Regions from separate parts of the Mus musculus genome. Here all the other regions are reported to be linked to region 3. Evidence: microRNA targets listed by miRTarBase, many of them from high-throughput screens and not tested one by one. Region 3 holds a microRNA gene; each other region holds the end of a gene's coding sequence.

Region 1 (4,379 bases), not on the chromosome of region 3:
CTGAGACAAGTGGCCACCCTCCAGGTGGAGGCCTGCTTCAGTGGCTCTGCAGCACAGGGATTTCCCAAGATCTGTACTGGAACCGGATGCCTGCCTGGTTCCTCATGCAATGCGATTTTCTCTCTGTGGCACTTTTGGCTGACTGTGTGCCTTTGAATTTTCTAGGACAGTGCCACCTGGAAAGACCATCACTTTCCAAATGGAATGCACCCCAGTGAAAGCTGGACCCCAGAAATTCATTGTCAAGTTTATTTCCAGACAAGTGAAAGAGGTTCATGCCGAGAAGGTCGTTCTCATCAGCAAGTAGCACATTTGATACCATGGAGATGGAGGCAGGAGCCCTGATTGGCTCTGAGCCTTGGCTAAGCATGTTAACATTTTCTAAATTGCATTTAGCTTTCAGGTCAGGGATGGTTAAATTTGATTATGCGTGTGAAGGCACATTCAAGAGCCAGCCCAGCAAGACAGAGCTCAAAGGCCGATGTCACCACAGGCAGTAGCTCCAGGGAGCCAGAGAACCTGGGCACATGTCACAGGCAAACATTTCAAATACATATTTAGGAATTGTGGCCTCAGAAGACAGTGCCACCGTCATCTGGATTCAGAACCATGTACAGAGCCCAGATATAGAAGGGCTGGAGGCATCTTCCATCTAGACCATGGATTCTATCAAGTCCAGGGGTGCCTGGAGGCTGTGCTGGAAGTCTTATAGAAAGCATCTTGGAGCTGGTCCTGGGTCAGGCACTACACCCTCTTATCCCAAGGCTCTGTCCTCTTAGAAGCAGGCCCCACGCTGGCGTGAGGCCCTCTTGCTCTGGATGAGCCATGGGAGGTAGACCCTTTTTTTAAGTAAGAGTCTATGGCCAGTGACAACATCTGAAGAAGCAACGTATCCTGCCCTGTTCTCGGGAGTCTGTGCTTTGCTCTGCTGTTAAGGTATCTGCTCACATACCACTATGCTTTGAATTAAACTCTGGCAACTTTAAGATGGCTAAGTGGTCTGGAGTTAAATTTTCTTTTATGCCAGCATGCTGCTTAATTTAACCTCATTGCCTCTGAATTTCATGGATCCAGGTTGGCCTTCTTGGTCTGGGTCCTCTTCGTGATGGTCAACCTCTCTCAAGGGCTGTAATTCTAAGTGGACATGTGTTCCAGAGATACTCAGTACACACTGAATAAGGGGTATTTTGTGTATTTAAAGGCCATTCTTGCCTTAGGGTTTCTGTTGCTGTGATAAAACACTACGACCTAAAGCAACCTGGGGAGGAAAGGGTTAATTGCATCTGAGGGAAGTTAGGGCAGGACCCTAGAGGCATGGGCTAATGCAGAGGTCACAGAGGAGTGCTGCTTACTGGCTTGCTCCTCATAACTTGCCCGTCATGTTTTTTTCTTCCATCCAGGGGTGGCATAACTGACAATGGGCCTGGCCCTCCTACATCAATCAAGAAAATGCACTACACATTTGTGTAAAGGCCAATCTTACAGAGGCATTTTCTCAATTGAGATTCCCTCTTCTCAAATACCTTCAGCTTGTGTCAAGTTAATTTAAAACCTGTCATCTTTCCTTCATTCTTGAAACCAGAAAACCCCAAGTCCTGACTCCTTTTTGCCCAGATGCCCACCTCTGTGGCGTGCAGATGTCTGGTACATGCTTGTAGAATAACCTCTGTCTATGCTGGGGCCATGGAGGATCAGTTAGTGTTTGTGACACTTGTTTTACACACTAGACCTGAGAGGAAGGACGTTGTCCAAGGCTTTGGGCTAGGATCTCCTGCTAAAAAATTGGCGCCTCTAGCCACAGAGGTAGACCAAAGAACTATTATTCAAAGCAAGAGGCAGGTGTGCAAGCAGCCTCTGGCCCAGAAACACTGGGCCTCCTCTTATCAGCTGCAGTGCTGAGTAGAATCTCAGGAGTTGCCATAGAGAGAAGGCCATTGGGTTCTGGTGTGAAGGCACAAGGCCCAGGGCTGGACAGACTACTACCTACATGATCCTGGCTGTCCAGTACACAGAAGAAATATGGCTGAGGCCTGACATGGTAATGGGTTAGCTGAGGAGTATGGAGGACCTAAAACTGGGAGCAAAATGCACACTTCAACCTTTCCAGGAAAAGCACTCTGGAAACAAATGGCTGTGGGCTGGGAGGTATCTCTGCTGCAGGTCAAGCTGTCCCCAAGCAAGACTGGTTTTAGCCTCAATGTACAGGACATTCAGTTAACAAATCCTGACTCCAAAGCTCCTTCCTTAATTTAACTGCTGCTCCTTGGGGACCTAGTCACTAGCTCTGATTTCTCCCTGGTATGGAATCTCTGGTTATGGTCCAGCACCTGGGCCGTCCAGGTCTGTTTGGGGTTGGAGGCCCTACAGGTCTTTCCACATAGTGCCAAGATTAGGGACAACTTGGGTTCCTCATGTTATTGCTGATAAATGTTAAAGCAGACCTGCTTGGAGGAAGTGCACTTGCAGTGGGGTGGAGTAGGCCACATCTGCTAATGCTGAAGTCCTGCTGACACTGTGGCACTACCTAGGATGCTGCCCAAGAATCAGACCACCACTTGGCTCCCCACAGCTTTCCTTTCTCAGGGTCCTGAGACAGTACCTCGATTGACTCGTGTCATGGAGGTCACAGGTTCCACTGGCCCAGGACTCCTGCCCTTTTGCAGAGCTAGAGGAGCTGTGATACAATCCTCTGCCAGGGTCAGTGGCAGCCACGCTGGGGAATGGTTCAAGGGGTGAGTTGAGCTGGGTGTGTTTCTTGAGACTATCTAACTGGTTAGACTGCAGAAGCTGCCGCTTCAGCCACCACTGCAATGGACTGGGGAGTGCAGGAGCCTGCCCAGACTATCAGTAACAGCCAGATACCTCAAGCTCCAGTGGACAGACTAGGTCCAAGCTCATCCTGGGAGAGCAGTGCCTGGGGTCTTCCTGGCTTAACAGTCTGCATGTCCTGGCCACCATGCAGTTCTTCATTGTTTTTAAGACAGGGTTTCCCTATGTAGCCAGAACCATGTGGACCAGGTTCTCCTCAAAGCAACAGAGGTTTAGTTGCCAGCTCTAAATGTTGGGAATAAGGCATGTCATTAGGACTAGCAATGCAGTTTTCTGTGAGGCACCATTTTGGGCGCTGCTCTAAAATGCAAAGGAGGCCATTTCTGGTTGCACCTGTCCCCATGTCTTACAGACTTTTTCCAGGAGTTCAATATATGTCTTCACCTAGCTCTTCTAGGATGCATGCTTGTGGCTATAGAAAGGCTGACTGCCTTGTTGTCTCAGGGAAGAGTCTCGTATCTATAGGATGGCGATACTGTCATGACTCAGGCTCATTTCCATTTGGGTAGACTCTGTACGTGTGTATGCATGCATGCATGTAGGGTGCTCTTTCAACCAAGCCCAAGCCCTGACCGCAGGCTCAGCATACCCTCCTTTGTTGATTTCGAGTCAGCCAGCCAAGGAATCCCTTTCCTGGAAATGGCTGGAGTCTCTTTAGCCTTCCAGGCTGGTCTTCCTTGATGTTAGAGCATTCCTTCCCCAAGATCCCCAGCCTCCCCAAGACAGCCCTCAAGAAGCAGAAGTGGATCCCCCACCCCGACATCCTGGTCACCATTTCCTTTGCTGGATCACTTTTGGCACATCCTGTTAAGAGGAACTCAGAGAAAGTCCCTACTCTCCTGTACCCTCTATTGCCCTTCCTATCCCCCGACCCCAATCCTAATGGAAAAAAAAGTGTGGGGTGACAGAGTTGGTAACACTCATCAGGGTAGCAGCCACTGTTGGTGTCTTATCCTCCATGACTTCTATTCATCCAGCACCTCCACAGAGTCCCTGTCTTTTGTCGCCTCCAATTGGCTCTCAGCTGTTTCCATGTTGTCCACGTCTGACAGAGATGACACTTGACGTACCAAGCCCTTATCAATGGGTGTCTCTGGTTGACAAGGTCTGGTGAAAGGGTTGAACCAGTTCAGGGAAAAGTTCCCACCAAAAGCCTCCTGGACCGACTTCCAGCTGCCCGACTGCTCCCTGGGCTGTTTTGTTCGTTGGAGGCGTTCAATACCCTGAAGGAGAATGGGCAGAAGGTCAGTGTACTACATGAACACACCTTTTGCCTTGGCAGAGCAGGGGATGGGAATTTCAATATGGACGGCACAGCTTGCTGCGGCCCAGGCCACTTTTGAAGTCCCTTAGGGCTGCAGGGCAGAGCAGAAACTGTGAAGCAGAACAAGCGGGCCTGGCATTGGATTTGCCTGTCACCCACGTACTGCCAGACCCCTTCCTACAAAGGCAGTGGTCTGCTCCTGGGCAGGGACCAGATACCCAATGGCCAAGTATATCTTGGCTTCTGTAGGCATGAGCTAGACTATCACCTATGAAATCACTAAGAA
Region 2 (4,431 bases), not on the chromosome of region 3:
TCTGGTTTCCCATTTTATCATTTTTATTCCTTCATTTCCATTCACAACTTTTTTGTTTTGTTTTGTTTTGTTTTGTTTTGTTTTTCGATAGACCATTCACAACTTTTCAAACTGCTCAGTCATTCATTCTCTCAACCTTTGTTGAGCTTTGAGACAGGACATGAAGAAGGAGGAGGAGGAGGAGGAAGAGGAAGAGAAGGAAGAAGAAGAGGAAGAAGAAATAGAAAATCCTCTCTGGGAGCAAAGTAGTGGGGGAGGGAAAATCATGTTTCCCATTCTGCCTAGTGCCCATTTGGCGCCACTTATTACCATAACTATACTTTTTGGCTACCATGGGTTCTTTTATCTACCACTCTTATTCCACCCCAATCCCTTTCAACCCAACACTAGGTAGACAAGAAAGGTTAAAGGGAAAAGGAGGCATAAATCGCTCTCTTTTTTAAAAAAAGATTTATTTATTTATTTATTTATTTATTTATTGTATACAAGTACACTGTTGCTGTCTTCAGACACACCAAAAGAGGGTGTCAGATCCCATTACAGATGGTTGTGAGCTACCATGTGGTTGCTGGGAATTGAACTCAGGACCTCTGGAAGAGCAGTCAGTGCTCTTAACCGCTGAGCCATTTCTCCAGCCTAGAGGCATAAATCTCTTTAGACTACTTCCTGCTGATTATTAGCATCAAGTTCCTTGGGACAAGTCCAATCTTCAGGATATCTCCAACCAGCAATCCAGCAAACAGCAAAAGCAACAGTAGGAATCAGCCTGCTGCAGCAGCCCCTGCAACCTCTTGGGGCTCTGGCATTTTTATACCCTATCAAAAGTCCCCAGAATTATGTGCTGCCAGAGCACAAGAAAAATCATAGCTGGTTGCTGTTGACAATCTAAAGCAGCCCTATATCCCACACCTGGGATTAAAACAAAAACGTGTTCCTATAACATATCTGTGTTTTTAAAGAAACCAAAATTCTCAGTACTTTCCATATAGAACTCATAACAGCACAAGTTTTTCTTAATTAACTGTGAAGCCAACATACTCACCTGGGAATGCATGCTCTTTCTAATTAAAGATGATAGAGCTATTTTCTCATGCTCTAAATGCTCACCAAGTAGCTGAGGCAAAGCCTGGGAAGGAAAGCAGGGCTAGACTAAACCATGTGAACCCTGCTTGCAGAAGCAAGTGTACTGGAACCTGCACGGGCTGCTTGGTGGTGCTCCAGGTGAGTGCCACACTGTCACCCACATGCACGGTGCTGAGGGCACTTAAAAGACTCCTGTTGAGGTTTGTAAATACCTGCTTAAGAGCAGTGCTAGTTTTAGTGTGTGTTAAAGCTAAAAGATGAACAATGATTCTTTCTTTCTTTTTCTTTTTCTTTTTTCCTATTTGTCATCTATCTATCTATCTATCTATCTATCTATCTATCTATCTATCTATCTATCTATCTATCTCTATTGAGACAAGGCTTTTCTGTGTAGCTCTGCTGTCCTGAAACTCTCTATGGACCTCCAGGCTGACCTCCAGCACAGAGATCTTTCTGCTTGCCTCTGCATCCCAAATGCTGTGATTAGGGGGTGCACCACCACCACCTAGCTTAAACAATGATACTTTCAATGAGAATAATAGACAAAGAAAACCTGAGCAAGTAACCGATTCTGTGACAAGGCCTCACTGGGTAGGTAGTCAGTCCTACTTGGCCTGGAACTCTGCAGCCCAGGTTTTTCACCAATTCACAGAGATCCTCCTGCCTCTGCCTCCAAAGTGCTGAGATTAAAGTCTGTGTACCATTACATCTGACTTCAGGGGTGGCTTTAATTTTTTTCCTAGGTTCCCTTATTCACTTATTGAGAACTTGGGTAATAATAGCTTTGTTTCCAAACAACCAAACACCAAAACAGCCCAGGGTGGTGGCACACACCTTTAATCTCAGCACTCAGGAAGCAGAGGCAGGCTCTGTGAGTTTTAAGCCAACTGGTTCTACATAGGGAGTTTGGGACTATAAAGGGCTATACAGTGAATCTCTGTCTCAAACAAACACAACACAAAAGTCTGTATATTACTTTGAAAAATAGTCATACCTTTAATCTTGGCCAAAAGTCTAAGTCATAATGAAAAAAATCTATATGGAATTAAACAAGATCATGAAACTGAAAATGTAATGATTTTAGATTCCCTTTAATGTTAATACAGTGGAAAAACAATTACACAAAGTTGTGGGGAGTCATTGGTATAAACTGTTAGTTACAAATAAAACCACTGCTGGGCGGTGGTGGCGCATGCCTTTAATCCCAGCACTTGGGAGGCAGAGGCAGGCGGATTTCTGAGTTCGAGGCCAGCCTGGTCTACAAAGTGAGTTCCAGGACAGCCAGAGCTACACAGAGAAACCCTGTCTTGAAAAAACAAACAAACAAAAACCCCCAAAACAAACAAGACCACTAACTTATGTAGCCAGAAGCTTGGGCCCTGTCTCCTCCAGCCCATGCTGATTTTTAATCCCCAGCTTCCATAGCCCCAGGTGGAGTCTGAGCAGGATCATCCTTAGGAAGGAAACAACAAGTAGCAGAAAGACAGAGCTCCAGTCTCCACATCTACCCTGCTTATTCTCAAAATATGCGTGGAAGCCACCCACAGTCGCAGAGTCCTTTTCAGAATAACAGGTGTTGGCAAAACTCAGCTTATTCTCAAAATATGCAGGGAAGCCACCGACAGTCACAAAGTCCCTTTGAGAATGATAGGTGTTGGCAAATCAGCCAACAGGCCAAATGTAGTCTGCTGCTTGCTGTGAGAGACCTATGAGCTATGAACAGTTTACATTTTTAAACAGCTACACTTCAAATTAATTTTTATTTTATGTGTATGAGTGTTTTGTCTCTCTCTGTGTGTGTGTGTGTGTGTGTGTGTGTGTGTATGTATGTATGTATGTATGTATGTGTGCGTATGTATGTGCCTGATGCTGGCAGAGGTCAGAATTAGACACTGGATCTCCTGGAAATGGAATTACAGATGGTTGTGAGCTGCCATGTGGATGCTAGGAATAAAATTCTGTCCTCTGGAAAAATAGCCAGTATTCTTAACTGCTGAACAATCTCTCTATCCCGCCCCACCTTTTGTTTGTTTTGCTTCTGTTTTACTCTTTTTGAGACAGGGTCTCACTATATTATCTGGGTTGGCCTGGAATCTTTCTATGTAGATCAGGCTGCTTTGGAAACTCAGATCCGCCTGCCTCTGCTTCCAGGGTGCTGGAGACTAAAATTGTAAACCACCATGCCAGGCCTTTAAATAGCTCCATTTTAACTGGCTATATATAAGTTCATGTATAATGTCTGTAATTTTACCCCTTCAAACCCATAAAGCTTAAATCATTTTCATCAGACCTCCAAGGAATAATTGCTACTTTTTCTAACCCCCAACAGGGAAGGAACATAGTGACCAGTTAGGGACTAACCAAGCCCTCAGTGCTGAGGCTAATTGCCTGGGCTTCCGCTCTGGCTTGGCTGTGCCTCTGGTTGCCAGGTGGCAACAAGCCCCACACTCCTCCTGGGAGTGGGTTGGGCTCTCCAGATGAGTTGTTTGTAGTCGAGGGGACTCCTGTCAGAGAGCTTCTGACGCTTGGGCCATACCTTGACGTCGGGGGCAACCCCATCGCTCACGAAGGCAGAAATGCCAAACCAGGGCTGCACAGCTCAGCAGAGCTAAGGCTGTGCCCACTCCCACGGCTGCATAGACCAGGGTAACAGGCTTAGGCGGCATGATAAACTTGCGACAGGGCCCAAAGGAAGGGCCAGTCCAGTTCTCAGGACCCTCGACTTCTGCCCCAGGAACATTGCTCTCACCTGCGTCATTAGCAGCCACCACGCAAAGGACATAAGCAACCCCAGGCTTTAGTCCCTTCAGCTCTGCTCTTCGAACTGTAGCATTGAGAGGGGCACTCTTCTGTGGAGCCCCGTTGCTTTCCCAAAGCAGAAGCCAGTAGTGGCTGACTGGAGAGAAGGGAGCACACCAGTGAACCACTGCGTAGCCTTCTTCAGCCATTATTTGCACTTCTCCCAGGCGAGGAGGCTCTGGCTGTTGATCTTCCCTGGAGAGCCCTGGGCACAGGCAGGCTACTGGCCCAACCTTCTGCAGCTCCTGGCAGGACACCTGCAGGTGGCGGCAACGGTCATAGTCGCAACGGACAGCTAAGGAAGGTGTAGCTACTGTCACATCATCCTCTTCCCCTTCCTGGTAGTCTTCCAGGGTCAAGATCTGAGGTTGGGAAACCAAGGAGGTGGTCATGGCTGCCAGCCACAGAAGGGAAAGAGAGCCCAACATGGAGTCTGGAAGAGAAAGAGTGAATGGGTAAATGCTGTCAGCCCTGTCTTCCAGGGCTATGTGAAGTATGTGAAAAGTACACTATGTGAAAAGTACAACATAGAATCAAGACCGAAAGAGG
Region 3 (4,431 bases):
CAAAGAGTGTGGGAAAGCAGAACCTAAGGTTTGGAGAAAAATCCAAGCGCCCTCTCCCGCACTGCCCAAGCGTCTCACGCGCTTTAACTCCCCCTCCTACTTATCTCTGCCACACGCAGCTCCACCCAAGGAAAACCCGGATGCTCAAGGGAAGTGGACCACCCGGGCCACCAGGGCGGGGCGGGGCAAGGCGAGGCGCGTACTCGCGGCCCTGCTTTAGGTACAACTTTATTGCATCACCGCGACTCCAGAGCGCGCGGCTGGATTATAAGTACTCCCGCGCCCCTTTGCTTGGGCATCTTTCTCTTCCAGGAGCGCGCCGGGGCCGCAGGGTTGTTATCCGCGTCCACCTTCTTCTCCAGCAGTTGCATGCGCGCCGTAGTCTCTGTTAGCATGTCCATGAGCAGTTCTTGCTGCAGCTTCAGGTAGTTATTCTCTTCCAGCAGCACCTGGCTCTTAATCGGCTGCACTTGTGGCTTCCAGGCCGGGATGGTGGAGGAGGGCAGAGGCGTGCGCGCGCTTGCGCGCTTCCCCTCTGGGGTCCAGCGGCCGCCGCGGAAAACGAAGGCCTCGTCGCTCAGTCGGGTGCGCGGCTCGCCGTAGTTGAGCCCCAGTTCGGCCTGTCGCGTGCGGTGGTCCAGCAGATAGAAGGTGGACATGGATGAGATATGGCGCAGCGGTGGCCTCCGCGGCGAGAAGCGGCGCGAGAAGTGGTCGACCCAGAATTGCCTCACCTGTTTCCACAGGCGGCCCGCTTGGCTCGCCGCCAGGCACTCAAAGGCCTCCAGGGTGAAGGTGGTGTGGGCCACGCGGGGCGCGCGGGTGTCTGGAACCCTGATGTTCTGGAATGGTGAAGGCGAGCCAGTGGCACTGCTGGAAAGCAAATGGCCTGTGAGCGGCCTGCTCAGGCTAGACTCTGCAGTTGTAGGCTAGTAGGGGAGCCCATTCCTGCATAGTCACACCAGCCGTGTTCACCAAAATTACCTCCCCGGGACCCTTTATCTAGGATGTAGGTGTGTAAGAGATAATGTAGGGCTGGGCAGTGATGGCACATGCCTTTAATCCCAGCACTTGGGAGGCAGAAGCAGGTGGATTTCTGAGTTCGAGGCCAGCCTGGTCTACAAAGTGAGTTCCAGGACAGCTAGGGCTACACAGAGAAACCCTATCTCGAAAAACAAACAAAAAAAGAGATAATGTAAAGGCCCAGAAACCACGTTCTCTGAAATGCTGGAAGAGACCACAGGTAGGGGGCCACAAGTAGAGATCAGTAGCCAAGCAAGTAGGACAGGCCTTTTCTTGCTGACAGCTGTGAGGCAAAGGGCTGTCATGTTCCAGATGCATGAAAGAGCCGACAAATAGGATTGGTTCCGAGAATAGCAGAAACGTAGGCTAGAAAGGTGAGCCAGAGGGCATTTTTCGGTACAGTACAGGGAAATTGAACATTGTGGTTGTCATTCTTTAAGGGAGGCTGCTGATGGCTGCAAAGTCAGGGTTAGTGTGAACTCGGCAGAGCATCTGTCTGGTGAGATGTCTAGCACATTCTAGCACTGGCACCTGCTCCATGCCAGGTCTGGCCTGCACAGAGGATACCACAAGCACAGCCTTTGTCTATCCTCAAGATGTTCCTGGTCCAGCTGGAAAGGCGTGTATTAACATCCAGTGTAATCAATGACATCATAGGACAGACAGGTAGGTGCCTTAGCCTAGACCCATACTTAGCTTTCAAGTAACTAGAATGCTGCACACTAGAGTTAACTTTTGTTCCTAGCCAACTACTGATAGGAATCTAAAGCCCAGATAACTACCAGAACCCATCTTACTTGCTTCCTAACTCTTCTCACAACACCTATAAAGTGCTGATTCTACAGTGTGGTTTTTCAAATACCTCTCCTGCCATCGAGGGCAGGAGTGAAAACTGCTGTCGGGTTTCCTTTGCCACACCTTCATTAAACCCAACAGAATTGTGCAGGTGGGCAGAGACAGGTGTTCTCCCCCACCCCCTGATTTAACTCATGGAGCGAGTCTCTGGAAGTCCCTACACATCCATCTTTGAGGTTACAACTTCCCCAGTAGACTGTTTCCTGACATTCCTTGTGAGTTGTTCCTCACCTGGAAGATGTGGTGGCGGTGCCCAAGCTGCTGTCCCAGGCCTGGCCCCATTTCTGGGTTATGGCACCCACCTGTCTGCCAGCTGTGACTCACAATGCCTCCCTGCCAGGCCTCCTAGGGTAGAGGTGGTGTAGACAGTGAAGTGTGTTCAGTTACGGGAAGTTTCCGGAGCATTGACTGTGCTCCAGGCACTGTTCTGGGGGAGGGAAGACGTTCAATCATAAAATCGCACCCCTCATTTTGTTTAAATCTTTGTTTTGATTTAGGTCCTTTTGAGACAGGATAGCCCAGGTTACCCTGTAGCCCAGGCTAGTAAGAATCCTCCTGAGCCAGTCAGTGGCAGCAGGTGGGTTTCAAGAGTTCGAGGCCAGCCTGGTTCAAGGCTGCCAGGGCTACACAGAGAAACCCTATCTGGAAAAACAAAACAAAACAACAACAAAGGGATCTGCCTGCTTCCTGCCTTAGCCTTCCAGCCGGATTATAATCATATGTTTCTGGCTTCTATGTGGAAGGTGGGAGTATGGGTAGTGTGACCTCTGGCCAAAAGCTAACCTCCAGTATCTTCTTGATCACTCTTCACCTTACTTGTTTGTTTACTTATTATAAACATAAAGGCAGGGTATCTTTATGGAGTCCTGGCTATCCTGGAACTAGCTCTGTAGACCAGGCTGGCCTCAGACTCACAGAGATCCACTTGCTCTGCCTTAGAGTGCTGAGATCAAAAGTGCACCAACCTGCCTGGTCTTCCACCCTATTTTTTGAGTCAGAGTCTCACTGAACCTGGAGTTAGCAGAGTCAAAAGGCCAGCTGGCCAAAAAGCTGTAGGGATCTTCTACCCCCACCTTTGCCAGGGAAGTGTCTTCTTGGAGTTGTAGTGACATCAAAGGTGAGAGAGAGCTCCCAGAGATGCACTCTGTGAACAAGGTGGGAGTTGGGTACCACTCGACTTCTGGCCAGCTATGAAAGTCATGTGTTGTATTAATGAAGATAGGGCAGAGGGATCTTACTCATTCTGTCTCTCCCTTAAGTTCCAGACAGACATTGCTGTACCCTGCAGATTGTGTGTGTCAGTGTCCCGTGTCAGCACTGGGGTTAGAGATGCAGGCTGCCACACTCACTCAATCCCATGAGAACTGGGGTTCTGCACTCAGGGTCTCAGGCTTGTGCAGCAGGCCCCTCCCTCACTGAGCCATCTCAGGCCCCTTACTTGGGTTTTTGGAGACCTGATCTCACTTTGTTAGCCTAAGCTGGCTCAAATCTCCTAGGCCTAAGTGATCCTCCTCCCATCTTAGTCTCCTGAGCAGCTCCAGCCTATAGGCTGTGGCACACAGTACCTTAAGCCAACATTCTTGGCAATGGGGTGGATGGGAGGTGAGCATAAGGAATCTGGTATTGCTCTAGAACACATGTAGATTGCCCTCCAGGAATTTTAGTGCAACCTTAGTCCAGAGTGTAGCAATGGAAACTTTTGGGGGCAGATTGAGCCCAGGGCTTCCTGCATGATATTTGTATACTCTTCCAGTAACTTTTTAATTTTTTTCAAATCCTACTTTTAATGATTTTTTTAAAGATTAATTACTATACATAAGTACACTGTAACTGACTTCAGACACACCAGAAGAGAGTGTCAGATCCCATTACAGATGGTTGTGAGCCACCATGCGGTTGCTGGGAATTGAACTCAGGACCTTTGGAAGAGCAATCAGTGCTCTTACCCTCTGAGCCATCTCGCCGGCCCTTAATGGTGGTTCTTAAATGCTTTAACCTCCCTTGTAGCCCACCACCCACCAGAAGTAGTGGGAAAGAAAGGATTCGGGAGAAGTGGACTTGTTTAGAAAGGTTCTTTGGAGCCACTCCCATCTGGGTTGTCAGGAAATCAGCAGTTCAGTTCACTGGTCAGCAGCGGCAGCTCGATCCACTCACAAACACTTCACAATACACCAGCAGTCTAGTTTGGTGGAATGAGGATAGCAAACACGAATCGGGCATGACCTAGCAGAGACAGCCAGGCCTCAGCCTCTGCTTGAGTCAGCAGGAGGGACAAAGAGGAAAACCAGTTCTTGGCTATGCCTCTCTCAGGGAAGTGAAGATGAGGGCAGACTCAAGACCCACAAGCATTGCACAACTAGCTCTGTAAGCAACCTAGCTAAGCCTCTGTCACTGCTAAGTCTTACTTATCTCCTCCAAACATCACGTGTCCTCCACAGGTCTTGCCTCAGCATGTGTCTTGCCACAACAGATATCACTCTGCCAATCAGCCCAAGGCCAGGGAAGTGGCAAGAAACTGCAGCACACTACCAGAAGTTTTATGGTGCATTTCTC
Region 4 (4,431 bases), not on the chromosome of region 3:
CAGAAACAAACGAAAATAAATTTAATTTTTGTGGTTACATGTGATAGAGAATAAAAGTATAATTTAGGACTGGGTATAGTAGTTCATGCCTGTAATCCCAGCCCTCTGGAGGTCAAGGCAGAAGGACTGCCTCAAGTTCAAGGCTGGCCTGGGCTGGAAAGGAAGACTTTGTCTAGTACAGAATAAACACAGAGATTAGAAACAGAGGGAGGCTACACACTAAGGAGCAGTGTCTGAGTGATTGTACTAACACACAGTGGCAGCCTGTCCTAGTTTGCTTTGTTGCTGTGGTAAATACCATGGTCCAAAACAACCTGGGGAATAAAGAAAGGGCTTGTTTCATCTCACAACCCCCCAGGTTACAGCCCCTCAGTGTAGGAACTTGGAGGGATAAATGCAAGCAAAGACTGTGAAGGAATACTTTTTCTCCTCCTCCTTCCTCTTTCTCTCCCCTCCTCTTCCTCCTGTTCCTCCCTTTCTCTTCCTCCTCTCCTCCTTCCTCTTTCTCCTCTTCTTCCTTTCTCTTCCCACCCGCTCCTTTCTCTTTCTCCTCCTCCTCCTTCTTGTTATTGTTTCTCAAGACAGGGTTTCTCTGTGTAGCCCTGGCTGTCCTGGAACTCACTCTGTAAACCAGGTTGGCCTCGAACTCAGAAATCTGCCTGCCTCTGCCTCCCAAGTGCTGGGATTAAAGGCGTGCGCCACCATGCCCAGCTCATTTTGGGGTTCTTTAAAAAACTTTTTTAGACAGTTTCTCACCTGGAACTCTGTAGAGAAGGCTGGCCTCGAACGCACAGAAATCTGTCTGCTTGTCTCTTGATGCAAAACCCCACTCCCACCTGGGTCTTGCTATATTGTCCAAACTGGATCTTAAGTTTCTGGACACAAGTGTTCCTCAGACTTCAGCTTCTCTGGTTGTTGGGACAAATGAGGACAAACTATGCCTTGCTTGATAGTCTGTGTGTTTGTGTTTGAGTGGGATTAGTCAGGGAACTTGTACATGAGTGGTATTAGTTATAGATCTTGTGCATGCTAGCCAAACAGTCTATACTGGACTACAATCCATTCCTCTGAATGACAAACTAAGATCCAAAGTGAGTTATGGCCAGGCTTGTTGGGCACAGGCATTTAACCCCAGCACTCAGGAGGCAAGAGGCAGGCTGGAGCTATGTGAATTCAAGGCCAGCCTGGTATACAAAAAGTTCTGGAACTTACTCTGTAGACCAGGCTGGCCCCAAACTTAGTGATCTGTATTTCTCTGCCTCCTGAGTGCTGGGCCACCATGCCTGGCTGAGAAAAAAATAAATTTTTTTAAGTTCCAAAACCTAGCAACCACAGTGTACAGGCAGTGGTTTGTAGACCTCCACAGCTACACATGCAGGTGTAGCAAAAATAGAACCATCTCTGGTATTTTATTGGTTTTAAAATGTTCCATCAACAAAAATGTCCTTTTCCTCTGTGTGTGTTTGAGTGTGCCTGTGGTTTGAGACAGGATCTTGCTGTCGCTCACGCTGACCTGGATTTTGTGATCCTCCTGTCTCAGCCTCCCCATGCCCTGATAACAGGATGGCTCAAATATACTACTTTCATGAAAGATTAAAACATCTCTACAAAGAATAACTGCAAGGGACCGGGGCTGTAGTTCAGGGGATAAAACATTGCTAAGCAAACACACAAACCTGAGTTCAGGTCCCGGGCAGCAGCTGGAGGCAGTGACTGGCTTTTGCTAACCCTGCTGCTGCAGGGAGGGTGGAAAGAAGAAAGCTAAGGGGCCCCTGGCTGGTGTCTAGATGAAACTGAGCTGCAGGCTGTGAGAGATCTCATCTGGAAAGGAAAGGTGGATAAAGGAGCTTGCTGCCAGGCCGGACAACCTGAGTTCCACACTCAGGCCCCGGATGGTGAAAATACAGAACTGCTGGAAGCTGGCCTCTGATCCCATGTGCACAGAAGCACATGCACACGTGAGACCTAAAGAAATAACTGTAATCTAAAACAGAAGGTAGATGAGCCAACAGTAAATTTCACTAAGGCTGTTGGTAGGATCCTGGGTAAGACTCCTATAAAAAAGAAAGTGGACTGAAAGTTTTCCTGGCAGAAAAAGAAAAAAAAAGAAAAAGAAAAAGAGAAGGAGAAGGAGAAAAAGTATCTGACTTTTCAAATCTAAGACTATGAGCCTTTTGTCTTTCTTCTCTGTGTAGCCTTGGCTGTCTTGGAACTTGCACTGTAGACCACAGGTCTGCCTGCCTCTGCCTCCTGAGTGCCAGGACTAATGTTAATGGCATGCACCACCAGCACATGGCCCTTTTCTTGCCTGAACATGTCTGTGTACTGAGTGTGTGCCTGGTGCCTGTGTACTTCAAAAGAGAGCATCCAATCACCTAGAACTGGACTCCTACGGAAGGTTGTCAGCACTCAAGGATGTGTTGGAATTAAGCCTGGTCCTCTCTGCAGGAGCAGCCAGTGCTCTTTAGCAGCTAAGCCACCTCTCCATCACCAGCTACTTGAATGTTTTTGATTACATTTGTGTGTGGGTGTGCACACATGTGGGTGCAGGACTCAACCAATCCTGTGGAGAAACAGGACGGCAACAGGCAGGAGTCGGTTCTTTCTTTCTCCCATGTGGGTCCTGGAGAGGCCCCCACAGCATACACAATAACAACAATAGTAAGACAGAACTATAGCAATATAGAAGTAGACTAGGAAGGAGTTAAGACGAGTAAGAATCAGAATCACAACTGAGTCTTTTCAGTCTTTATTACCACACAATGCTGGCTCACACCACCATTGTAAACCTTGTATATCAATGGCAAAACAACACAATTTAAAACATATGAAGAAAACAACAAATAAATAAAGGAATAAAAAATGTTTCTCTAAAAAAAACAAAAAAAAAACAAAAAAAAAAAAACAAACAGCCGGGCTTGCGTGTTATCGCACGCCTTTAATTCCAGTACTCGGGAGGCAGAGGCAGGTGGATTTCTGAGTTTGAGGCCAGCCTGGTCTACAAAGTGAGTTCCAGGGCAGCCAAAGCAACACAGAGAAACCCTGTCTTGTATTGAAAAACAAAACAAACAAACAAACAAACAAACAAACAAAAAACAAAAAAAAAAAACAAAAAAGAAAAGAAAAGAAGAGAAAAAAGAAAAAAAAAGCAAAATATTATGAGTTGTTTTTTGACCTTTCCTCTGAAAAGCTAATTTATTCCAGTTCCCTCTTTTTGAGTGGAGGGAGGACTTGAACAAATCTCCATATTATCCTGGGTCTTTCATTGGAAAAGCCTATCAAGAAGATGAACAGTCAGGTTTAATAAGGACCTTGCAGGCACTTAGGCGGGAAGTACAGGGTCCTGAGTTCCAGGGTAGCTAGTTTATGTAGTGAATTCCATGGTAAAACCCTGTTGCAAGAAAAAAGAGACATTACCAAGTGAAGGAAACAGTTGAAAGGAACCAGGTCTCGCCATCATCTTCTGGAAGGAAGTGGGCCCGGCTGGCAGCAGTACCTGGGCTACTTTCGAAGTCTCTCACCTCCCAGGTGGGGACAGGCCTAAAAGGCCGACAAACTTTCTTCATCACATCAGCCTTTTGGGGTCTATTTTTTCCAGGTGAACCAGAGGTTTGAGCTGCTCTGCAAAGTTCCTCATGTCATCAGAGACCATGTCCTGCCCAGCCGGGGCGACAACACTTAATTCCACAAGATAGGAGAGGGACAGGGCCTCGGTGCTGTCCGTGTTCCCTGGGACCAGGATTCGGAAAATCTTGTACACCACAACCTTCATGATGCCCTTCCGAAACAGGTGTCCTTTGGCGACAAACTCATGGTCCATGCGGAAGCCCATCTCCATCAGGAAGTCCGTGAGGTTCTCAGACGTGGCGATGTCCACACAGTTGCGCACCAGGGCGTGGCGGTTCTTGTCTCCCATTTCGGGCTGTCCCAGGTATCGCAGATGCCAGGGTGCCCCTGCCCTGTCCATGGAGCGCCGGGCCCTTAGGACGAACGGGCTGGCCTGCTGGCCCTTAAGCAGGAAGACCATCTCGTGATCAAGGAAGGTCTCAGGCTCCATGTTGTCACACAAACCTCGGAGGCGATGGATGAGGCTTTCCAAACTGTGGTCCAAAACACTTCCTGAAGAGGCACAAGCACAGTGAGTCCCGGCTTTCATTTCATTTAGGGTCATGAAACCAGCGAAAGATACACACACCAAATAAATAGTTCTATGCAACGTTTTCTAAGAACAATCCATGGGATTCTATTTATTTGTCTATTCAAAACGTTTTATATTTAGTCATTCTTGTCTCGGCAAACTCGAGAATACAATGGCACATAAATGTTGGTTGGAGGATAACCCGCTAGAACGGATTCCCTGTGGGTCCCAGATTGAACCCAGGTTGTCTGACTTAGCAGCAAATGCCGGGTAGTGGTTTGCATGACAGTAGC
Region 5 (4,381 bases), not on the chromosome of region 3:
TTAGAGGTATCTGTCCCTGGTGAGCTGACCTTGTTGCTTTGCAACTTGTAGCTGTGCATCACGGTGGCATCTAGGAAGCAAAGACCTTGCACCAGGCCCCACCTCCAGAAGCTGCTATCCCTCCAATAGCACCCCAGACAGAGGGCTTAGCCTCTAGCATGTGCTCTGGGGGACCCTCCAGATACAGATTGATGCAGAAACATCTGTGGAGTGGGGGGGGGGGGGGAGCTATCCTGCAGTCAGCCCAGTGGGGGCCCCGCTGTGTCCAGTGTGGGTGTGAGGGACAGTGAGGCCATCTCCGTGGTGACTGGGGGAGCTGATACTTGAGGATGCCCTCTGTACAGGAATGCTCAGCAGGTGGGCCATTGCCTGTGTCTCTGTCCTCTCTATAGGTGGCCTGTGAGAAAACCGTGTCTGCCATGCAGCACGTCCTACAGAGGACCATCCGGTGTGCAAAAGGTACCTGTCTGTGCTCTGTCTTCCACGGGAGTAGTCCCTGATTGGAGGTGGACAAGAGGGAGGGGGAGCTCTCCCTTCCAGCCTCTGCCTCCTGCTATGTTAGAAGTGAGGCAGCAGGGGGCAGTGTGGCACCCCCTCCTGAAGCAGGAATTCAGAACTATGGGAGAGGGAAGGGTGTCTTAGGTTCCATCCTGCCTGCTCTGATCTTCCCTGTGCTCTGCAGCTGAAGCAGGAGAAGGACAGAAGCCCAGCCCCGCTCAGCTGGAGCTGAGGATGGTCCAGAGCAAAAGGGACATCGAGGACCCCGAGATCGTCGTGCAGGCCACAGTGCTGTGAGGACCACACCCACTCGCCCCGACACACAGCCAGCTGAGGTGTCCGTCTCCATCCCTGTGAAAAGCTGTAACGTCTGCCTTAGAGCCATGACTGAAACTCGACATCCGTGTTCCTTCCCGAGAGTCGGGTCTCAGCCAGTCTCTAGCGTGAAAAATGTGCCATTGTGCTATTTTTTTAAAAAATGACAAAGCCGTCGTAGAAATGTGTGATTCACAACCATGGTCCCTTCCCCAAAGGCCCTGGGCCTCTGACTGCCTCATGTTGCCTCATAGGTATGTGGAAGGTAGGTGGAGGAGACCAGCCTGCTGCCTCTGGACCTTTCTGTTGGTCACTGGCTGCCATTGCCCCCTGTGTATGTATACACAGTCCTGATTGTGTATAGACTCTGCCTGTGTCGGCGCTGTCTTTAAAATGGGGTTAGGTCTTAACCGTTGGCATTGGAAGAATTATGCCAAATATCTTCTTTGCCATTCTGGTCTTTCCCTTGTTCCTGCATTAGAGTTTCTGTGTCTCTGCTGCTCTTTGGGTGGTGTCCCAGAATGTCAGACGAATGCAGCTGCTGGTCTGCGAGGGAAGGTTTCATATCCCCGTGCTTGCACAAGCATGCGGTCACTGTGACAGGGACCTTTTAAGGAACGGGAACATTCCAGGACATCTGCAAGCCGTCTGGGTGTCTGCAGGGTCTCCTGTAACTCTGGAGCTGAGTGCAGGGCAGCTTGGGAATTCAGGGAAGTTTGCCTCACTGGGCTTTTTTTTTTTTTTGGTTTTGGTTTTGGTTTTGATTTTTCAAGACAAGGTTTCTCTGTGTAGCCCTGGCTGTCCTGGAACTCACTTTGTAGACCAGGCTGACCACAAACTCAGAAATCCGCCTGCCTCTGCCTCCCGAGTGCTGGTATTAAAGGCGTGGACCACCATGCCCGGCTCTCACTGGGCTCTTGTGGGCACTCACACAGCCCCTGCAGGACTGTCAGGTGGCAGTTCACCTGCCACATGCTGCTGGGGACAGTGCATTGCTGCACAGGGGGTTGGACAGACAGGGAAGGAGAGACAGAGGTGGCTCCTGCCCCCTGGTGGCAGACTGAAGTGCGGGTTTTCTCCACTCCCCTCACCCTCATTTCTGGATTCTGTGCCCACCTCATGCTGAGGGGCCAGGGGCCCTGATGTGAAGCCAGGGCCTCTGCCTCCTTGGAAGGTCTTCTCCTCTACAGAGCACATTGGCATTGTGTATGCAGGGGCAGCTCTTAGACCCCAGCTGGGGACTGTGACGTGTCCCATTGTCTACTGCTCGGGGGTGAACTTCCTGGCTCTGCTTTCCAGAGTTTAGGGTCCCTAATCATGGCTGCGAGCCGCACCCATATCCCTGCTCCTCAGTCCTTAAGATATCTATCTTCTGAGAAGCCACAGCCTAAGGAGACCAGGGAGACTGGGAGAGGTGAAGAGTGCATTATGCCTACCTCTTCCCCAGAAGCATAGGGTCTCCATGGAGCTCTGAGAGCGACACCCTTTCCCCATTATGATGCCCCAGATGGAGGAGATAGATGCTGGTCCACATGGACCTGAACCAGCCCGTATTCTGAGGTGTCCGTTAATAAGCCTTTTACAGCTTTGAAGGAAGCAGAGAACTGGGCTCTCTCTCTCTCTCTCTCTCTCTCTCTCTCTCTCTCTCTCTCTCTCTCTCTCTCTCTCTCTCTCTGTCACACACACACAATGTAATTTTAAAAAGTACTTTGGTCATCAGTACCCCAGGACAAGATTAGCAAGCTCTCTGTTAAGGCCATGAAGCCTGACATGTGTCCAAACCTGGTGCCAATGTGGCACCTCTGAGCCCCAAGAAAAAAGAAAGCAAAGACAGCAGGCCCCTAGTATCCAAATCAGAATTGGCTTTTACTTTTACTTTATTTTAGTAAGGAAGTAATGTGCTTGGGAAGGAAGCTGCATTAGCCCAGGGTTAGCCGCTTCCTATTGGGGACATTGATTCTGTCTCAAAGTATCTCCTTCCACCTCCTGAATACTAGGAAGGAATCACCACACCACATATGACCAGTGCTCCCTTTTATTGCTGCTATCTGGGGTGCCTCTCTTCCAGACATCCACGCAGCTACCTGCACTGAGAGGTCCTGGAAAGCCATGTCTGTCCATGTGACAGATGGATGCTGACCACAAAAGCCACCAGTGGATGCTAAGAATGGGTGTCCCTCCAAGGGGCAGTTCTGGGAGGTCAGGTTCAATGTGAGGTTACAATAGAGCTGCAGTCTCTGTAGGGAAAGCGGTGAGTCAGGGAAGGCTTGAACCTGGTTCCCAGGTCTGAGTGAATGTCACTCCCCAACCCCCTGAATGATAGAGACGCACCCTGGGATGGAGGTGCGGCTGGACATGCATGTGCCAGTCCTGATGCTTTCCCACACTTTCTGTGACAGCTGTAGATGGTGCCAGTCCTGCAGAACCAGAGAAGAGAGGTTTCTACCTCCACTTGCAGTTTCAGTATCCACCAGCAGGGGTCGGGGTGGAGCCGGAGCAGTGTCAGAGGCCCAGGTGGATGCTGGTACCAGCAGATTAAACAGCAGCCATCCTGCTGGGAGATTTGGTGGTTGTTTTTTACTGTGTACATCTTTCTGTTGGGCCTCAGACTTGGCGTTGTGCAACACCTGACAGTAAGTGGGAGTCAGTGTGTCCCCAGGTCAGCCTGACATCCCAGGAAGCCATTGTGTCGTCAGCATGGCCAGAACTGACAGTTTGTGTTTCCTTGCTGACTCTGGTTTATTCTTGTGGCAGGCACCCTAGAGGCTGAGGCAGCAGGAGAGCTATGGAGTAAGACACCCACACTCACACCGCCCACCCACCCACCTACCCACTCTTGCCTCCTTCCTTACATCCTCCCTCCCTCCCTTCTTCCTTCTCTTCCTTTCTTTTTTAATTTCTAGTGGAATAAACACAATTTTAAGATTCCCCACTATTGAAGCAGGCAGAGGATATCCTCAGAGCAGGCGTCTCCATCTCCCTTGGATTACCTCCCTGCTTGTGGCTGAGCTCCCCTGGGCCAGCATCTCCTCATTCCTTCCCCTGTTTCACCATCAGGCAGTTTCTGGTCTTTGTGCAATAGGATACACATTCCAGGTGGAAAAGGTCTCCCTGATGCCGTGGGAACCCCACTCTGTCCCCGTGGGAACCCCACCCTGTCCCCGTCAGCTCTTGAATAGCCAGTTAGGGCTGCCTCTGCCCTGAAGCTACAGATGGGTGGGAACAGACATCCATGGCTGGAAGCTCCCAGAAGGCCTTGGGTATAACCTTGGCCATACCTCACTGCCCATCCTATAGAGCCAGCAGGTCCCATGAGACGTTGGGTAAAGCCATGACTGCACCTCATGGCCTGCCTTGCAGGGCTAGGCAGTGCCCCATGCAGGCAGGTGTAGGTGACTTGGACTGGGGGCTCTGGAAGCCTCTGAGCTGCCAGTTTCATGCCTGACATGGAGGATATGTCCGGGGGGGGGGGGGCGGTGACAGAACACAATAGAGGACATGGGCTTAGCATATCCTTCTCATATCCCACAGAGCAGGAAGATCCCCTCAAAGCTCAGGCCTGAGTGAG
Region 6 (4,431 bases), not on the chromosome of region 3:
TCTAGGGCATCCAACTCTTTTGACCTCTGAAGGCACTTAGCATGTGCTTCACATACATACTCTCAGGCAGACATACATAGACATAAAATAATTTTTTAAAGAAAGGGTCTCACTATGTAGCCTATGTATAAAATGTATATATGCATACATATATACACTATGTATAAAAATGTAAGTAGTGTTGATTGACTCTGTCATCTTTTTTTTTTTTTTTTTTTGCTACGCCATATTTTATAGCTATCTTGTTCTGGCTCTACAGTGAGTCCTGGGAATCCAAGGGCGACTTGCCCTTAAACTCCAAGTCTTGTTAGAGAGTATAGAGGAGACAAAACAAACAGTGGCAGTGTAGAACAGTCACCGTGAGGTCACACACACAATAAGCACTTCTAGGAAGCTTAGCCCAGCTTGGAGATAGGGCTGATCAGAAGAGGGAGAAGTCTGGAGAAGTCTCAGGGAACCCCGAGGAACAAGTGTATCTTGAGGATGAGACTGTGAGTGGTAAGCACTCAAGTTCAAAGCTAGTACTAGTGTGCACTCCATTGCTATGAGTGATTGTTTGGGGGTGGGTAGGGGTAATGGAGGAATGCTAAGTTCACACAATAGAAGGAAATTATTATTTTAGTACTCAGAAGACACAAAAATACTTGGAATCCTTCGAGTCTGAAATCATGAGAAAGAAACTATGCTGGGGTGATCACTTATAGGTGAATGGATCTCCTTGTGAGGTTGACAGGTGTAATGGCCTGTTTTGTTGAATGATTAGACGTGTAACTGAGCCGATTTGGAGGTTGGTATGGGCCAAGTTAGTGATTTTATTTACGTGTGGCAGGCCTGTTGGCTAAGGCAGCTACCCAGAGATTGCCTGTATTTCTCCCTCTACAGATAAAATCGCCACTAAGTTGTCTGACTCCATGATGTCCATGCTTGACCTCTCTGGCAACTCCGATGACTGTGCAGGTGACTGAGCAGCTGACCTTCCCCCTCATACTGCAAGTACTGCTTCCCGTGCGATGGGAGAGTCCAGATGCCTTTCCATTCTCCCTGATGTACTTAATAGGAGAACACCTCCATGTCATGTATCTTCTGCTGCCGTGCCCTCCATTCTTATCAAAGGTCTGGAGCTGCCAAACCCTACTACCCTCTACTTAATCCTTCCTGTCTTTGAAAATGACCTTGTGTTTGTTTTGTGGTGCCAGGGATTGAACATAATAGGTTCTCACAAATGTTAGACAACCATTCTATTACCAAGCTGTAGTATTACCATCATTACCATCCATCATTATCATTGGGGAGTCTGCTTACTCAACCTCCCAAGTACTGGGATTACAGGCTTTTGCCACCATTCCCAGCTCCCACTGTGTTTTCTAAGGTAAATAAAATCAGCAGACTCTTGGCATGGTGGCAACATATCTATAACCCTGACACTTGGGAGACTGGAGCTAGGAGGACTGTAAGTTATGGGCCAGCCTGAACTATCTGGCAAGACCCTTTCTCAACAAAACAGCCCAAAACAAATAAGCAGAGTCCAGCTGGGCATACACCTTTAATCCTAGCACTCTGGAGGCAGAGGCAGATGAATCTCGTGAGTTTCAGGCCAGCCTGGTCTACCGAGCAAGTTCCAGGATAGCCAGGGCTGCATAGAGAAACTCCGTCTCGAAAAGTGAACAATAAAACAACAAAAAGAATTTGTAATTATTTAAAAAGCAAATAAGCAGAGTCCAAGTGCTGACAATGTACCTTGGACTCTAAATTCCTGTGTCGTACCCTGTGAGTTAGGCTGATAAGGGTTAACCTTTTGGACAGGTAAATGTCCTAAAGGCTAGACTGCTGAGAAACCTGGTAGCAGTGGCGGGGGAGGTGGCGGTTGTCCCTGGATGGGTGATCCTTTTCATTTTTATCACCCTACAAGATCTCAGTGCCAAGGCTCTTGCCTGTGTATTTTCCAAATCAATAGCTAGCTCCTCATCTGGGTAGTGTAGGAGTAGAGAAGGATAGTGTGAGTCTCCTGTCTCTGGAAGTGTCTGGGGATAGTGTAGAGGATGACGATTCTAGAAAGGGTATACCTATCATAGTAAGTTGGAAAGCCATTGGCTGCAGGATGTTCAGGAAATGTAGACCGTACCTGTTTTCTGGACGGTTAGGGGCTGAGCACAAACTACTAAACAATGAGAAACAGTTACCACCTTTAACTTTCACTATATCCGTATCAGGAAGGGGTAAGGCTCAGAAAGCCGACAGAATGTGCTCATGTCAACAGTAAGTGGTGGTGTGCTAGATGTCAAACTTGAGTCTAATTTAAACCTTATGCTAGCCTTTTGGTTTGCATTATTTTGCCTTTTCAACAAGGGCACACCACTCTGGTATTTTCTGTTGTCATATATTTAAAATATATTTTCTCTACTCTGTTTTTTATTTTTATTTATTTATTTATTTTTTGGGTTTTTCGAGACAGGGTTTCTCTGTATAGTCTTGGCTGTCCTGGAACTCACTTTGTAGACCAGGCTGGCCTCGAACTCAGAAATCCGCCTACCTCTGCCTCCCAAGTGCTGGGATTAAAGGCGTGCGCCACCACCGCCCGGCTCTGTTTTTTAAAAAATGGTAGTATTTATTGAAAAACTATGCTTTCTAAGTCTCTTTAAATGATGTCCAACTTAATTCACTGATCTCATCTTAAGTTTTGCTAGACAATAATATATTAGAAATAAAAGTATCTAGATTCTTGGGAACATAATCATGTCAAAATAAAATAGAACTAAAACCAGGTGGGTGGCTCACACCAGTGCTCCAAGCACTAAGAATGCTGAAGCAGGAAGATGTCTGAAGCTGAGTCCAGCCTGGGCTGCAGAGTAAGAGGCAGTCTCAGGGCGAAACAAAATAATGTGGGACTTTAGATATTCTAACTCTAATGTATCTCAAGGTTGGGGGTAGCATGCGCACGCACGCACAGAGAGAGAGTTTCCCCCATATAACCCAGTGTGGTCCTGAACTTTTTAGGCCCCCCCCCCATTAGCTTTCCAAGTGCTGGGATTGCAGGTGTTTGCTTTCATGCCTGGATATTTCTTTGTTCTTAAAACAATTTCTTGGGTCTTTACTCTCCCCTTAAAAATCATTTTTATACAATAAATCTCATCCTTCATGGTTCTATGGTTCTGTAAGTTTAGACACCTTTTTTTTTTTTTTTTTTTTCCGAGACAGGGTTTCTCTGTGTAATCCTGGCTGTCCTGGAACTCACCAGGCTGGCCTCGAACTCAGAAATCCGCCTGCCTCTGCCTCCCAAGTGCTGGGATTAAAGGCGTGCGCCACCACGCCCGGTTATTTAGACACCTTTTAACAGGGGTGGCCTGCCATCATAATCAAGATAAGAGAATTTTGTGGCATTTCCCCAAACTTATTGTGTCCTCTTGTAGTATAGTCCTGCCCCCATCCTCAAATCCTAGCAGGCACAGACCTCTTTCCTGTTCCTTAATATAAGTGTCGTAAGTCACACGGGGGCTTATTTTATGGCATTAAGCTTTTAGCTTTTTCCTTTTAGATCTTACATTGAAGTTAGATGCAGTTGTATAAGCTCGGATAAATGGATAAAGCCGAGTAATCATTAATACAGGACAGAAGAGTTCTATTAGCCTCTCCTTTACCATTCCTGGTAATTTATAGTCAAACCTTGTTCTCTCCCTGACAGTCACGGACTTGTGCTTTCACTTTATGGCTTGTCTTTTGAAAAGAGTTGTAAGTGGAATTTAATAGTATGTAACTTTTGAGATTAATGTGTTATAAATTATAGACTTGAGATCCATATCACTGGATGTATCAATAGTTTGATTTCTGTTTCATATGCTATTGTGTGGATGTCTTATTGCTTATTCAACCCTAAGTTGGATTACATTCTTTACAGTTGAGGAGGAAGTTATAAATAAAGCTGCTAAAAATCCTTGTGTGAGACTGTTTTCATTTCTTTGGCATTACTACCTAGAGTTGGATTGCTGCAATATATGGTAAGCATATGACTAACAATCTAAGCAACTGCTGAACTTCTTTGTTCTCTTGATGCACATTAGAATATTATTTTGCCTGCATGTGTGTCTGTGTATCATGTACATGGCTTCCTGTCCACAGAGGCCAGAAAAGGTGTCAGATCCCATGGAGTGAAATTATAGATGGTTGGTTGTGAGCCACACACACACACACATTATCCACCTGTTGATGGATATCTTGGCTGGTCATCAGCTTGTCTTTTGTAAACAATATAGCGACAAACATGAATGTGCAGCTCCCCCTGTGCTCTCCTTACTTGGATTCCTTCAAGCATAGATCCAGAATTAGTATTGTTGTTTTGTATGATGGTTGCTTCCCTCCCTCCCTCCCTCCCTCCCTCCCTCCCTCCCTCCCTCCCTCCCTCCCTCTCCTTCTTTCTTTCATCTATCCATCTATCTA
Region 7 (4,371 bases), not on the chromosome of region 3:
TTCCAAGAGAGAAGATAAAAACATTTTCCAAGGGTTAAAGGGATAAAATGTAGAGACCTCTCTTGGGAACTTCCAGAAAGTTATCAGGCCATCAAAATAATCTTAGAGACCCAGATATATAATAAATAATCTTGGATGAGAGATTAAGGTAAAGACGGGCAACAGGCCAGCCCCAGAGGATCCCGAGATGTCGCCAAATAAGGAGTCGAGTTCCATTCCTGTGTGTTTTGTTCCATTCCCGTGTCTATACTCTGAGAGCGAGGTACTGTGATTCCTTCACACTCCTGTGAAATGGACTCTGTTTGCTAGGCCACTGCTACAGACAAAATGAACTTTGGGGACCAGCACACCCAGCGGCAGGAAAGCTCACAAGTCCGAGGAGTTGGATTTGAGGAGCACATTTTATTTTGCAATGCCAGAAAACTAACATAATTTAAATAAACAAAAAAAATCACTATTCAAAACCCATACATGGGAGATTTGTTACTAAAATGGTAAGGGACAAGGACAACACGGTAAAGGAGCCATAGAGAGTGACAAGGAAAACATTGTACCATTCACAGAAACAATTTGAATATACTTAATACATTCGTTTCACATGAAATACTTAAGCCTGTATATATTCACATTCTGGAAGCCAAGAGACAGCTTTAATTTTCAACTTATTTTATGTGCATGTTTTGCCTGCAAGTATGTCAGTCTACCATGTGTGTGTTTGTGCTTTCTGAGGCCAGAAGAGGAGGGACACCAGGTCTCCTCAAACTGGAGTTACAGATGGTTGTAAGCTGCCATGAGGATTCTGGGAATTGAATTTGGATCCTCTGGACAAGTGACCAGTACTCTTAACTGCTAAGGCATCTTTCTAGCCCTAAAGTCTTTAATCTTTCAATGTGTTTTATTATTTAAAGTAGGCAAAAGAAAAAAATAGCAGTACTGGCTTTTCGATATACAGTGTCTATGGTACAGTATACGATTGCTCACATATTTTGACAGCCTTCATTTTTCTTCTAGTATTCACATACAATTCGTAAACTCTCACCTTTAAGTAAATTAGAGTCTAATTCAATAAATACTATACAGAGAACAATTATCAAACAGTGTTGTACATTCTGAGATTTGGGGAGGGCTCATAGCAAACGGTTTTTGCCAGAATCAATTCTGAAGACCCTGCAGGATTCCCAAGGCAAGAGCCAGTGCTTTGGCGAGCTCTCTGAAATACAAGCGGTTGACGTTTCTGAGTCCAGAGAAATGTGTCCATGGGGGAAGGAAGGCATGCCACTTGGTCTGCCCATCATCCACTTGAAAATAGCAGGGCAGCATGCAGCAATTTGAGACAATTCCTAATACCAGAGAACAGGGGCCTTTCTCTGCAGAAAGACAGGGGACAAGGTAGATGCTTGCTGCATGTTGCCCTTACATTCTCCTTGATGACCGAAGTCCTTGAGTTTGATCATGCATGGTTATCAACGTTTCTCTAATCTGCATGCTACTATGCTGTTGGCTGTACAAGAAACTCCAAATGCCATGACAGGGTTTTTTTTTTCTCAGCCCTGAATCTGGTGGCAGAGCTTCCCCTGCAACTCTGGCCTCTTGTGGTTTAAAGGCTCATTTTCAATTCTCACAATGGACCTGGTTATCTTGACACTGTCACCAAACTGATAGTTCAAATTTTGTCTCCCCTTCATGTGACATTTCCCTTGAAGCTCATGAGAGCCTCCGAGGAAACGACAGCATGTTCAGTGCCTGTGCTCAGTGCACAGAGAGCAGAGCCCATGGAGGCCGATAGGATGGTTTTCTTAGGTCTCACCCACCCACAGACCTGGGCAGATTCTCTGTGAGGCTCCTAAAAACCTGTAATACATCTGTGTGCAGGTGTGCGTGTGCAAGCCTGTATGTGTGAGTACATTTGTGTGTGTGTGTGTGTGTACACACTGATGGGTGTAGGTGCCACTGGAGGCCAGAAGGTGGCACTGGTTTCCCTACAACTGGAGTTACAGGCAGCTGGGAGCCACCTGGTGTGAGTGCTGGGACCAGAACTTGGGTCTTCTGCAGGAGCAGCACATTTTCTTAACTGCCGAGCCACCCTCTATACTTCATCATCTAAGGATAGAAAGTTGGTGACAGACGTTTCCCTGGGAACAAAAGCATCCAAAGGGTATTGAAAGAGGTGCAAGGTGACTTAAAGATAAAGAAATGGAGCAAAATGGGGCCACAGGGCAGCTAGTGCTACGAACCATTATATACACCAAGAGCATGGCACGTGCAGAGCACAGAAGTGTAAAATGATATTTACGTACTCCAGTCTTTCAAATAATCTGATTTTGGCATTGATCACCACATAATTAGTTATTGGGGCTGATATCAAAACACAAGGAATTTTTACATGTGTCCTACCCTCCACAGAGACTGGTGTGATGTTGCAGCCTGTTCTCAGGGTTGTGGCTCAGCAGCACAATACACAATACGTTCAGTCTCAAGGTGCCTCTGCCCCTCCCCCATCCGTGTGCATGTGTGTGTATGTGTGCATGTGTGCATGTGTATGTGTGTGCATGTGTATGTGTGTGCATGTAAAATGATTCTAAGTGTGGGTGTTTGTAAAATAAGGGTAATAATATTCTCTTTGGTGCTCAGTTGAGAAAAATGCTGCACTAACAGGAAGTGTTAATAATTTTGAATTTTGACTCCATTTTCGTTTAAAAAAGGAAAATGAGTAAGTGACCACAATAACCAACCGAGAAAGCTGTCATATTTCACAAAGTCCTTCTAAGAAAGCTTACTGACTTGGCGGTTACATAGAACTATGAACCCTGTCAGAAGTGTTGGACTGCGGCAAGGATACAATTGTAGCTCTAATGTTACCTGATGAAATGACAGGTGTAGGCCTGGAGTTCTGGCCTGTGACATTTTGAACTAGTTCTCAGTTTTATCTTTATCAGTACCTGTGTTTTAAAGAAACAAGTGAATTAAAAAGAAAGCCAATTGTGACACCATTGTATAACAAATGCAAAGCTGAATGGAGCCTGTGTTCCTCTCCAGCACTGGCTGTCCCCATCCACCCACGCCCGCCCCTCTGCCTTCTCAGAGAACCATACCCTACAAGCATCACACCACAGCACTCCCTCTACCCTGAATCAGAAAAGTGAGGCACCAAAAGGTAAATTATACTTTGGCAAGCAGGCGATCGGACCATTCTTTGAGCTTCTCTGAGGTAGTGGAATCCCTCCTCCTAATATTCTAACGATTTAAAAAGGTCTCAGTTGCTAAAGTGAGAGAAGGGGAGGGCTGGCTTCACACTCCCACACTTTTCAGAGGGAATGGCTTGTACGATTAGCACACACCCCAAAGTTGGCTTCAGTAGCACCCTCGTTACACAGAAATAAGAAACACAACAGTTGCCACACTAGGAGGGTAAAGGCTGCTTCCTGAGGGCACAAGTCATTGCAACTTAGACTTAACTCCTGGGTGTCTTTCTATAAAGTGCCTGGTGCGCTGTTAGGTGTTCAATAAATGTGATATCACTGAACATTTAACATATCTGACTTAGCAAGACGACAAGCAATTTCAGCACTTAAACACCAGCCAACTGTGGGCTCGAAGTCCAGGCATGGAAATCCGTAGAAGTTTCATCCTTGGAAAAACTATTAAGTTCAGATGCTGTTGGGCAGGACATGGGTGTGTAATTCCATCTCACTTAACTGTTTGTAACAGACACCCTCAGGCCCTTAGTCAGCTTATAATGTGTGGCTTTGGCGGGTTCCCTCTGTCATGAACTTCTCTGAAGACAAAGCAATCAACTTTCTCTGTTGCTCTTCAAGTTTTTCTGCCAGACATTTCATCAAGATGGGGTCAACTTTAGAATCAAACTTATTAGCAAACCAATGCCCTTCGTTTAAGAGCCACCGTAGTTCTGCAGCTCCGTAAATACACACACTTCGAAGGTGAGAGCCAGTGCAATTGGGGTAGAGAAAGCCTTCGTAGTAAAACCATTTGACCAGGCGGGTCTTACTCTGCAGGTCAGACACGTCCTGAGATGAACTGGAAATTCCCCCGGGTATTCCTGGTATCCGGATTAAGGTGGCCCAAAAGTGCTCGTCAGGAGAATATGTATCTTTAGACCAGGCAAAAAAGTCTTCAACGAGGGAGCTGTTGAAAATATATTTAACAAATGCTCGACTTAAAACAAAATAGGCACTGCCCACAAATACCTGAATGTTATGAGGGGGTGCCCCCTTGGAGACGTTCGTCTTTACTGGTAGCTTCATATAATCATAAGGCACCTGTCTGAGCTCATGATGGTAGGTGAACCTCTCCGTCTTAGCACTGGGGGGTCTCACCGTCTCTAACATATTCCTTCCTTGGAGACTTTTCAGC

What was found. Region 3 holds the annotated microRNA mmu-miR-804 (UGUGAGUUGUUCCUCACCUGGA, at 2,093-2,114, shown strand). A microRNA usually pairs through its seed, bases 2 to 8, with sites in the 3' UTR of a target mRNA and lowers its output. Matches are read on the target gene's strand: a 7mer-m8 pairs with bases 2 to 8, a 7mer-A1 pairs with bases 2 to 7 and ends in A, and an 8mer does both.
Region 1: the mRNA of Zdhhc3 is a reported target of mmu-miR-804. Seed matches in the 3' UTR shown: 7mer-m8 at 2,733-2,739.
Region 2: the mRNA of Lrrn4cl is a reported target of mmu-miR-804. Seed matches in the 3' UTR shown: 7mer-m8 at 2,349-2,355.
Region 4: the mRNA of Med18 is a reported target of mmu-miR-804. Seed matches in the 3' UTR shown: 7mer-m8 at 3,006-3,012.
Region 5: the mRNA of Pdxk is a reported target of mmu-miR-804. Seed matches in the 3' UTR shown: 7mer-m8 at 1,621-1,627, 7mer-A1 at 1,739-1,745 and 7mer-A1 at 3,617-3,623.
Region 6: miRTarBase lists Gnl3l as a target of mmu-miR-804. Seed matches in the 3' UTR shown: 7mer-m8 at 2,483-2,489 and 7mer-m8 at 3,226-3,232.
Region 7: miRTarBase lists Gcnt4 as a target of mmu-miR-804. Seed matches in the 3' UTR shown: 7mer-A1 at 2,017-2,023 and 7mer-A1 at 1,896-1,902.

Annotation. Positions count from the first base shown.
Region 1 is chr9:123,066,567-123,070,945 of GRCm38, forward strand. It overlaps Zdhhc3 (zinc finger, DHHC domain containing 3), which reads right to left. Exons shown (of 7, transcript NM_001372538.1): 7 at 1-4,052. The coding sequence ends at 3,795. It overlaps Tgm4 (transglutaminase 4 (prostate)), which reads left to right. Exons shown (of 14, transcript NM_177911.4): 14 at 166-992. The coding sequence ends at 307. Among named protein-coding and RNA genes, the nearest start is that of Tgm4, 34 kb to the left of the region's middle.
Region 2 is chr19:8,851,539-8,855,969 of GRCm38, reverse strand. It overlaps Lrrn4cl (LRRN4 C-terminal like), which reads right to left. Exons shown (of 2, transcript NM_001013019.3): 2 at 2,061-4,315. The coding sequence starts at 4,310. The coding sequence ends at 3,591. Among named protein-coding and RNA genes, the nearest start is that of Lrrn4cl, 3.0 kb to the right of the region's middle.
Region 3 is chr11:50,355,482-50,359,912 of GRCm38, reverse strand. It overlaps Mir804 (microRNA 804), which reads left to right and starts at 2,034; the gene lies at 2,034-2,128. Cby3 (chibby family member 3) reads right to left here and starts at 2,152. Exons shown (of 2, transcript NM_029691.1): 1 at 2,110-2,152; 2 at 211-873. The coding sequence starts at 659. The coding sequence ends at 237.
Region 4 is chr4:132,455,995-132,460,425 of GRCm38, forward strand. It overlaps Med18 (mediator complex subunit 18), which reads right to left. Exons shown (of 3, transcript NM_026039.3): 3 at 2,735-4,119. The coding sequence ends at 3,566. Among named protein-coding and RNA genes, the nearest start is that of Med18, 5.7 kb to the right of the region's middle.
Region 5 is chr10:78,437,215-78,441,595 of GRCm38, reverse strand. Pdxk (pyridoxal (pyridoxine, vitamin B6) kinase) reads left to right here. Exons shown (of 11, transcript NM_172134.2): 10 at 393-459; 11 at 683-4,381. The coding sequence ends at 795. Among named protein-coding and RNA genes, the nearest start is that of Mir6410, 4.6 kb to the right of the region's middle.
Region 6 is chrX:150,982,638-150,987,068 of GRCm38, reverse strand. Gnl3l (guanine nucleotide binding protein-like 3 (nucleolar)-like) reads left to right here. Exons shown (of 16, transcript NM_198110.2): 16 at 883-3,936. The coding sequence ends at 965. Among named protein-coding and RNA genes, the nearest start is that of Gnl3l, 32 kb to the left of the region's middle.
Region 7 is chr13:96,946,926-96,951,296 of GRCm38, reverse strand. It overlaps Gcnt4 (glucosaminyl (N-acetyl) transferase 4, core 2 (beta-1,6-N-acetylglucosaminyltransferase)), which reads right to left. Exons shown (of 3, transcript NM_001166065.2): 3 at 383-4,371. The coding sequence ends at 3,732. Among named protein-coding and RNA genes, the nearest start is that of Gcnt4, 24 kb to the right of the region's middle.